Oryzias latipes: one gene and its partner. The protein of the gene in region 2 purifies or fractionates together with the protein of the main gene of each other region. This does not show direct contact. Links are inferred from orthologs where the notes say so. Each region holds a gene or a part of one and is shown on either strand. Other genes may lie near its edges.

Region 1 (4,300 bases), on a different chromosome or scaffold from region 2:
TCTTCTGATCTATTTTCAAAGCTTTCCCTGTGGTCTCTTAATTATGATTGTGGCGTTTTCAACCAAAAACCTCTATCGTTCTCCTGCAGGGCGGCTGCAGTTCATTTGAAATTTGCCTCTGAGTTATGGCACCCGCCCTCACCTCCCATCACTCATCTGTTTACACTCTCTCTCCCACTAGTTTGCAGCCCCTCACACCCCCAACCCAAAGAGCAATATTGGAGCTATCCAACCTGACAGTTTGGAGCCATAGCCTCCTCTTTTTATAATAAGATGCAAAGCAGCATTTCTGTCACTGCTGGGATCCAGGATAGAGGGAAATATTTGATGTGGATCTTTCTTTCTTGTAATGAGGAAAATGATTTATTTTCTTCCAAATAAAATCTATTTTTTTCTTTTTGTATTCTTTTAAATGTCATTTTGTTTAGCTTCTTTTTCTTTTGTGAAATAAATGAATTGGGTGAATGCACATCTGTAGCAAGCTGCTGAAAATGGACCCTGACAGACCTGTGGAAGTGCTTTCAGGTCATTAACACTAACACTTGTCCTTCCTCCTCCTCAGTGGCTGAACACCTCATAGCTCAGCATAGTGCAATCAAGATGCTCCACAGCCGAGTGAAGATCATTCTAGAGTACGTGAAAGCCGTGGAAGCAGGTGAGTCTGCTTTATTTATGAGGCGGGCGCTAAAGGCAAAGAGCGTGAAGAGCAGCAGGTGTTCTTTAGTGAGATGTTCCAACACGCCTGTCTAATAACAAGCCGCCATTTGACGGCAGCATCAGCGGCAGTCACATGACCTCTCCGCTGTGTTACAGGAGAGGTGCCATTTAACCACGAGATCCTTCGAGAAGCAAACGCCCTGTGCCACAGACTGCCGGTCCTCAGCACCATCAAATTTAAAACGGACTTCTATGATGTAAGAACATGTTAAAAAAAAAGGAATTCCACTGAGATTTACCTTAGAAGTTTTGTTTGTTGAGGTTTAAACTGTCTTTGCTAAAAGGTAGAATGCTTTCTTGTTTGTGATGCAATGCTGCTTCTTTATGACCTTTTTAGATACAGGCTTTTATTTTCTTAACCATTCTTTAGAAGGAGATCCACATGCTGGATCTCCTGCACTTTCAGGATCATGAATCCCACAGAAACGTATTTTCTAGTCCATAAGCTCAGATGCTTCCCTTTCACAACCAATCAAGTATTTTATCTCGGTCTCATAAATTATAAATATTAGAGTTGACCTTTTTTCCTTTTAAGAATTAACCCCTTGACACCTGAACCTATTTCCAGCTTTAAAAAAATTACCTTTCTTCGCTTTCAAGTTTATGCTAAATTTTATCAGTGGTTGACAAAGGATTTTCATTTAATGGACTTCCTATTTGTATCACTAAAAAAAAACAAAAAATGTGGTCTAATAAATTTCTCACATATTCAAACATTTTTATTATTATTATTATTAACGTTCCTCTGCCACAAAAAGTGTTTTTGGTGGTATTTCCGTCTTTTAAGCCTCTTGTCATAAAACCGGCAGAAATCTTGACTTTTTTTTTTGGTGATTTTTATTACAAAAACTGTTTAACTGTTTCTATAATCGTTGCCCCCAAAGCATTGAAGCTTCAGTGCTTTAACCTCTTAAGACGTGGCGTTCAAATTTGTAGGCGTCACATTTCGGGTGAAATTACCAGAGTGGTTCTGCTTATCTGGGTTCCTGTGACTTCAGAGGGTTACCTCAACTATTGGCCTGGGTCTTAAGGGGTTACGCTTTTTTGTGTTTAACACTATAAAAGAATTTGCTCATAAAATAAAACACTACTAAGACGAGAGAAAAAAAATCCCCCAAAGTGTCATGATGTTTAATTCAACTATCAAATGTAAACTAAATATATCCTAATAGATTTTAAATAGGATGGAAAGATTCTTAATATTCAGAAGTAATTTGTGTGCAATGATTAAAGTTTAAATTGTACAAAATATGAGTCTAAGATGATCAAACATTGACTTGTTTTTAGAAAATGTACATTTTCAATTGTAATGATAGAAGTTCTACCAACAATATTTGATCTAAAAACAAATCTGTCTTAATACACTCTTACTCGATTGGTTATCACCTCTCATTTTTAATGTTAGATGTTATTAGATTTGGAATGAGTCAAATATAATTGACTTAAATATGCATGATGGAATAGTGGTTACCCCTCTTGCCTCACAGCAAAAAGGTCCTGGTTCAAATCCCAGCTGGGACCTTTCTGTGTGGAGTTTGCATGTTCTCCCCGAGGGTTTTCCCCGGGTACTCCGGCTTCCTGCTTCATGGGGTAATTTGTGATTCTGTGTGGACCTGTGACAGCAGCTGGGTTGGCTCCAACAGCTCTGTGATCCCAAAAGGGATTCAATGGACTGATGGATAAATCAAAAGAGCTTTTAAGATGCACATTCTTTCATAATTTTTTTTCTTCTGCTTCCTGCTGCAGATGACTGTTGAATCTGTGCCTCACTCTCACTCTGCTTCTCCCCCCCTGCAGCAATGCAACGACGTCGGCCTCATGGCCTACTTAGGCACCATCACCAAGACATGCAACAGCATGAACCAGTTCATCAACAAATTCAACGTCCTTTACGACCGACAGGGCATCGGCCGCAGGATGAGAGGACTCTTCTTTTGAGATTCTGGAGATGCAAACGACACGCTGCAGTTTGGGGTTTTTTTTCCCCCTGGTCTCTCCCTACCTTTTAATTTTTTTTTGCGCTTTGTGTGTATTTTGATTGGCTAATAGAAGCTCACAGCCTCAGCGGTTTTTCAGACCCACTTACCATCCTCAGCCACAATCTGAGAGCACTTAAAGACGTCAGTCAGAGATCCACTCTTCTGCACTGCAGTGAACCCTCTGTACACGAATGTTGTCTTTTACCCGGGTTGTTTTCTAGTCTCATGTTTCTGTATGTAATAAAGGATCTGTTGTTTTTTTTCATGGGACTTTTGAGTTTTCTTTTTAAAGGAGCTGCATGAAGCTGGCTCTAAAGGGACGTGTCAGATCTGCACTTTTAAACGAGCTTGTGAAAGTTTGCTGCAGCTCGCTGTCGGCAGGTCGTTTGAAGTCGTCCTCCCGCTGTTTGATGGGCTGATGTGGGCTCAGACAGACGGGAATATTCAGCAGAAAAAAAATGAGGCTGGACACGGCTCCACTGAGTGCAACGTGTAGCAGGAGTCAGCTTTTATTTGGGTGTTAGATGTACAGCGGAAGCAGACCTAATGATCTCCAGTCTGAGTCGGTACACTTTAGTTTAGCTGCCACGTTGCACCGGCGTGGAAACGTGTGTCTATGCAAATGTCAAACCATAAACTGACTTTTATTTTGAAATCTGTTCAAAGAGCAAATGCATGAATGGCCATGTTGAGTAAAAACCGCTTCCCCTCATGCTGAAGGTGATTCTGAATCCAGACGGATCTAATCACAGCTGTATTCTATGCCTGGTGTCAATCAGCCTGCTCCATTTAAAGACAGCTGTTTCACCGCCCCTCCCACCTAATTATCAATGCCCCTCCTCTGCAGGCTCATCAGCTGCAGCATCAGGCTGTGGGTACTGGAAGCGAGCAGGGTCATAAAGGTCATCCCTGGGGTCATACGGGTGGGGGAAGTAGTAGTAAGGGTAAGGGTGTGGGTAGGTTAGTTTCTTTTCTTTGGGAGCGGGGGGTAACGGCTCTTCTACCGGCTCCTCCTCAGGTGGGGGAGTTGGTGGAGGCGCCTCGATCTTTCCCTTGATGGACCTGGGAGGGTGGTCGATCAGGCAGTCGGGGTCCCAGTAGGGGTCGCAGTCATACTCCATGCCCTTGAAGGCACGGACAGGGACCACGGGGGTCTTCTTGACGTAGACTGGAGGTGGAGGTGGAGCAGACTTCTTTGGAGGAGGAGGAGGAGGAAGATGTTTCTGCACTACCACGGGGGCTGGTGGGGCCTTCTGAGGGGTGCAGTGGGGGTGGTAGCGAGGGTCACAGAGTACAGGCACGGCGCCTGAAGGCAGGTAGACGATGTGAGGCTTGCAGAGGGGGTCCTTGCTGTTGCAGAGGAAGAGCACGTCAGCCTGAGACATGGCGGGGGGAGGTGGAGGAATTATCGGGGGTTCTGTGGGCTTTGGGAGCCCTTTCATGGGAGGAGGCGGAGGTGGGAGTTTGCACGATTTGTCAGTAGCTGGGTCGCACTTGATCTTTGGCACGAGTTTGTTCTGGTAGTACGGGGCGTCGGGACCGTACGTCTGCTCCAGATACCTCATCTGCTGGTAGAGCATCCTCAGCTTGTCGATCTCATAGAG
Region 2 (6,062 bases):
CAACTCTATAAGCCCCTCCTCCTTTGAGTCTCCTGATCCTGAATGTTTCCTGAGGTTGCTCCACCCCCTCCTGTCCAACCCCCCCCCCCGACCCACTACCTAATGTTAAGGCGGGTCTTTCTCCCCTCAACCTGTCCAGGTGGGATGGGGGGGGGGGGGGTCTGGAGTTTGCTGCTGGCCTATGGACCACAGAAAATGTGGGAACGGGAAGGGGCGTGTCTGAATGTCAGCCTAAAAAAACAAAAAGAAATCCGGCAAATCTTCATCCTCATCAGCGTTGGGCTGACCCCCCCACCTTCCATAAAAACAGCTGGACATAAAAGAATGTGAGAGGAGGGGGCGGAGCTTCTTTCTTCTGCGTGTGACTTCCTGTTTCCTGCTGCGGCCCCCCAGCAGGGCTGAAGAGCAAACGGGTGGGGGGAGGGTGAGATGGTGGGACGCCCAGCTATTTCAGACATCTCTCAAAGTAGGTGGCGCCCACATAGCCCCCCCTCAGGGAGCGATGGACATTCTGCTCAAAGAGCCGCCGGTTCGTCTGCAGGACCTCCGCCGCCTCCTTGTTCAGGGGGTCCTCCGGGTTTGGCTCCTGGGGGGTGGAGTCGAGCGTCAGTCGTGTCAGTGACACCAGCAGAACCGCGGGTTCGGACCACCTCAGGGATTCACAGGGGCCCAGACACCAAAAGAACCGCCGCTGCACGGTTCCGTTTGGTGTCCAGTCCAACTGAGAGAACCCAGGGAGTCGCTTCAGACGAAGACTGAACCCAAATACAGTCTAGAACCTTCTTCTCTCATGGTTCCGAAACCAGAAACATCCGGAGTCACAAAGAGTTCTGAGCTTTGTTCCATCAGGATGAGTCTTCTGAAGGTTCTCCACCGTAGAACGGTTAAAGAACCTTCAGGTCCAGTTCCAGCTTCTGGACCTGAAGGTTCTTTAACCGTTCTACGGTGGAGAACCTTCTGGTCCAGTTCCAGCTGGAGTCTGAATCAAAGCAGGCAGAAGACCCGCCTCCACCGGTTCCAGGTTCTCTACGTTGGGCTGATCCCACTGGGTCCACTGTTCCCTAGCAGAACCGCTCTTCCAGATTGCTCCTAGATTTAGCTACGGAATGGGGGGGCAGCTAAGGCGTCCCCTTATCCAAATACGCCCCGCCCACTGACAGGAGTTTCCCAGTTGGGAGGGGCCCAGTGGGTGACCCTCCTGCAGTATGATTGGCTGACCAGCAGACCCCCCCCCCTCCCCCAGATCATGTGACGTGTCTTACTAGAAAGAGATACTGCAGACCGTAGATGATGGAGTTTATCGTCAGAACCGGCTTCCAGTCCTCTCTGTGGAGCAGAAGAGCACACATGAACCTCCAGAACCCCCCCCCCCCCCCCTCGCTGTTCGGATCTCCGGTTCTGAAGAACTGACCTGAGGATGTTTAGACAGACGTTTCCTTCCAGGTCAATGTTGGGGTGGTACACCATCGTCTCACACTTCACTTTGGGGGGGTCGTGGGGGTAACCCTGTCCTACCTGAAACACAAACTCTTATGATGTCTGCGAGCAGAGAAGGGGCGGGGCCAAATGACGCGTTTGCTGACCTTAAAGCTGAAGACGAACTTCCCTCCTTTGTAGAAACCCTGAGACAGAAACACAGGTTAGCTGCAGGATGCTGCCCCCTCCATGCCCCCCACTCTGCCTCAAAACCCCAATGTTGTGACATGGCTGTGGGGGGGCCACAGCTGAAGCAGCCACTTACAGGGCAGCACTACAAAATATGGAATCTATGAAGCATGGTGGCGGAGGACTAATGGTATGGGCTCAGAGCCTCCACCCCCAGAGTAATCAGAGTACTCTGGTATGACAGGCAAGGCTCAAACCCATGACACGCCCAGCCCCCCTGGAGACCCGTCTACCAAAAACTGGTTTTGCCTGCGACTGGATCCGACCAGCACCGCAGTGCCACATGAGTGTTCCGCCTGACAGCCCGCACTCTGGGTTTAGCTCTCTGTCTGTCATCTGTCTGCAGTTTAAATAAAGTTTTACATGAGGTCCCTGACGTGAACACAAGCAGCAGCAGGACTTTGACCAATCATCTCAGGGGAGAAGAATCACGGAGTGGATTCATGAGGAACATGATGATGAACAATCATGAAGAATTCCTTCTTTTTGCTTCCACTTGGTTTGAAATTCCCTCCGGGAGTTCAACAGGATACCTGGCTTTTATTCTGAAAATCCAGGTTAACTGCTGCTCTTTGAAATGCTCCAGAATCCAGCAGGAACACGAGGAACCTCGGCTACATGATGTCCATCTGTGGTCACATGACCCCCCCCCCCCCCCCCCACACACACACAGCCGAGTGTAAACGTGAACGTCTGCACTGCTAGGAATCAAACACGCACCTCATCCGGCGAGATGATGAGCCTGAAGTTGAGTAGGTCGTCATCGTCGGGGAAGCTGATCTCGCACGTCTTTGGCAGGTTCAGCTCGTTGATGTCTGGAACACAAACACCTGCCGTTCAGGATCCTTCTCTTCATCACAGGACAGCACCTGGAGGGTGCACCTGGAGGGCGCACCTGGAGGGTGCACCTGGAGGGCGCACCTGGAGGGTGCACCTGGAGGGTGCACCTGGAGGGCGCACCTGGAGGGTGCACCTGGAGGGCGCACCTGGAGGGTGCACCTGCGCACCTGGAGGGTGCACCTGCGCACCTGGAGGGTGCACCTGCGCACCTGGAGGGTGCACCTGCGCACCTGGAGGATGCACCTGCGCACCTGGAGGGCGCACCTGGAGCCAGCCCCACCCTACCTGAAATAGCTTCTAGCTCTGGACATCATACTATGTTTGCATTTAGGCTCTGCTTAGACATTTCAGATTGGACAATTAAATCACCCGAGTCCCCCCCCCCCCCCCCCCCCCACTCCTCCTGTTTGGTTCTGGCCAACTTCACTCCAGATTTGCCCCCCTGTCCCCGGTGGAAGGCGTGTACCCCTTGTGCTATCCTAGGCACTTTAACATTGGGAGTGGGGTCATCTAGACCCACTAGACAGTGGGTCATCTAGACCCACTAGACAGAGCTCTGAACCTTTTTTCTTCAATGATTTGTGATCTTCACTGGTGTCCATGGATTACATGAAATCTTTCCACCTTTATCCACCTTTGTCATGGTAGGGAGAACACCTCAATGGAAGGAGGGGGGGGGGTCATCTGAGATAGCACAAGGGTTAACCCCCCCACAGCTGCTCATCACTTTGTTTTCGAGGTTAGCCGTGGCTAACAGCTAGCAGCTAGGTTAGCATGCTAGCCGTTAGCCGGAACTGTCGCCGCTGCCGGCCCGGACTTCCCTCCGTCCGGGGACCGGAGCTGCCTGAAAGCGCGCAGACAGCAGCAGGCCCTCCCGGAGGACCGGCGGCGGTCCCGGGCCGGTGCAGAGGAGGAGCCCACCTTTCTGTATTCGGAGCTGGGCCGCGCTGGCTTTCTTCCCCCCGGCTCCGGCTCTGTTTCCTCCAGCAGATTCCTCGTCTTTCTTCTGCTGCTTTAGAGAAAACAGCTTAATCATCTTCACCTTTTGATCAGGGGGGGGGGGCAAGCTAGCGAGCCTTCGGGTTGCGCGGTCCCTCCAGGTCGTCTGGGACTGTTCGGAGGTTCGGATCGGTCCTAACAGCACCGGAACGTGGACGAAGCCGGCGCGTCTGAACGGGTCTCTGAACGCGGCAGCTGCTAGCCTGCTAGCCTAGCCTGTTAGCGGGGGTGGGGGGTGGGGTGGGGGTGGGTGTCATACGGACCCCCCCCCCCCCCCTGCTGTGAAGAAGTTCACTGGAAAAAATGTAAACAGAGAAAAGTGTAATAAAGTTGAAAAACATTGAAATGTTTCTGTTCAGATTTGGATCGAGCTTTAATTTAAAACGATGGAATTTTTACAAATATAAATAAAAATAACAAAAACAGTAACAACAAAAACTTTGCATACTTTGGTATTAATTGTACTTTTGACATTTTGCGTTTATTACTTTAATAATAGTCATTTTATTCTCTGGGTAACATTTTTCTGTTTCAAAAATTACTTTTTTTTAATTGTATGTTTCCTTTTTTCTGGGATCCTGAAGTACTCATTTCTCTGTGCGCGTGCGTTTAGGGGGTGCGTGCTCGGAAATAGTAAATGGACAGTTTTATTGCTGTTAAATTCGTGCAACAGTGAATTGATATTTCCCATAATGCCCTTTTCCACCCACTTCCCTGTTGTGACGTCACCAACAGAGGTGGGGCGTACATGCTGTCGCTCCCCATTTTTATTTACTTCATTTATTTATTTATTTTGCTGTTGCGTCTCCCTCCCACTCTGAGGCGGCGTGTGCGGTCACCTGCGTGATGTAATCAGTGCGGAGGTTAAACGTGTCAGGGCGGCGCGCGGGCTCCGGATCACGCTTCTCACGCCAACACTAGGCGCGAGAACAATAGCCGCGCACAGCGCTCACGCCAGCGGCTCCTGGCTGCGGGGGTTTGTGCGGGAGCGAAAGGAGCGGCGCCTGCGTGATTGCGGGGAAGGACACGCGGAGAAGAAGGCGTAAGCTGCGGGTAGAGAGAGATAGATCCACGCTGCAGAGAGAGAGGCGGAGTGCACGCGCATCCATCCGAGGCCTGATCACCTGATCGATATCGATCAGTTTCAGATCGATGTTTGGGTCCCGCGTGCGTCTCTGAGGCGGGGAGGATGGGTCGCGCGTGAGGGCTCCGGGGCCGCCGCGGCAGAGAGGTGTGCGGGGGGGTGTGATAAGGAAGCGGCGGAGCTAACGGGGCTAACCGGAGCTAACGAGGCTACCGTCCATTCTGATGAGCCACAGACGAGCATGCGCGCCCCAACGAACAGGTGAGAGACCGTTCGCGTGCGTGCGTGCGTGCGTGTGTGTTTGAGGGAGAGGGAGGGGGGGTCCATCTGTCCCGGTCCCTCCGGGGCTTCTGCACCCGGTACCAGGGGGAGCAGCCGCGGGGGGGCAGACAGCCTGCTAACCTGCTAGCGCATTAGCATGCCTTTCCCTCGTGATCAGGTGAAGTGAGGGGTGGGGGCGGAGGGTCATCACAGGTGCGTGATGGGCAGATTACCAGAACTAGTGGCGTAGAACGGCTGCAGGGGTCCGCGCTCTCACGCACCGACCTGCTTACTGTTGGCCTTTAGCCGCTGCATCTGCGCACTTATGCTCACCTGTATGATACCAAGCCCCGCCCCCAGGTGAGCAGTCCCTGACCCACAGACCACAGCAGAATCTTCTGGGCCTGCAGCTGAGACCAGGGCAGAAGCTCAGGTCCAGACCTGCTGATTCTTCAGGTTCTGCAGGAGGACTGGGTGGTACGGTCCACCTGCAGCCCCCGGAGCGGTCCACCTGAGCTCCAGGAGCGGCTTCAGATCAGCTGTAGGTTAAACTCTGTAGACGTTTACAGATGAGGAGGATGAGGATGATGAGGATGAATTCTATTTGTTTCCTGGAACCAGAAGTCCCCCTTCAGGATTCAGACAGAGTCAAGAACCCAGATGACTGGATGTGAGTCAGGAACGAGTGAGAACGTCAGAGTAGAACGTTGAAGAACGTCAGAGTAGAATGTTGAAGAACGTCAGAGTAGAATGTTGAAGAACGTCAGAGTAGAATGTTGAAGAACGTCAGAGTAGAATGTTGAAGAACGTGTGAGAACGTGTGAGAACGTCAGAGTAGAATGTGTGAGAACGTCAGAGTAGAATGTTGAAGAACGTGTGAGAACGTGTGAGAACGTCAGAGTAGAACGTGTGAGAACATCAGAGTAGAATGTTGAAGAATGTGTGAGAACGTCAGATAAGAATGTTGAAGAATGTGTGAGAACGTCAGATAAGAACGTTGAAGAATGTCAGAGTAAAACGTTGAAGAACGTGTGAGAACGTCAGAATAGAATGTTGAAGAACGTGTGAGAACGTGTGAGAACATCAGAGTAGAATGTTGAAGAATGTGTGAGAACGTCAGAGTAGAATGTTGAAGAACGTGTGACAACGTGTGAGAACGTCAGAGTAGAATGTTGAAGAACGTGTGAGAACGTGTGAGAACTTCAGAGTAGAA

What was found. The genes of interacting proteins can lie anywhere in the genome.
Region 1: the proteins of ube2m (region 2) and cops6 purify together in Homo sapiens (affinity purification with mass spectrometry; 3 studies listed by BioGRID and IntAct, counting the BioPlex papers as one, with this or other methods). This does not show direct contact. The link is inferred for Oryzias latipes from reciprocal best matches to the Homo sapiens genes UBE2M and COPS6.

Annotation. Positions count from the first base shown.
Region 1 is NC_019868.2:6,639,035-6,643,334, reverse strand, and holds the end of cops6 (COP9 signalosome complex subunit 6), read left to right. Parts: intron 1-562; coding exon 563-655; intron 656-813; coding exon 814-914; intron 915-2,514; coding exon 2,515-2,655; 3' UTR 2,656-2,966; downstream 2,967-4,300. Other genes in the region: leucine-rich repeat extensin-like protein 3, read right to left, coding at 3,524-4,300. UniProt on the Homo sapiens protein: Component of the COP9 signalosome complex (CSN), a complex involved in various cellular and developmental processes.
Region 2 is NC_019866.2:194,054-200,115, reverse strand, and holds the start of ube2m (NEDD8-conjugating enzyme Ubc12), read right to left. Parts: upstream 3,731-6,062; 5' UTR 3,542-3,730; coding exon 3,427-3,541; intron 2,481-3,426; coding exon 2,386-2,480; intron 1,623-2,385; coding exon 1,584-1,622; intron 1,516-1,583; coding exon 1,412-1,515; intron 1,327-1,411; coding exon 1,263-1,326; intron 587-1,262; coding exon 446-586; 3' UTR 1-445.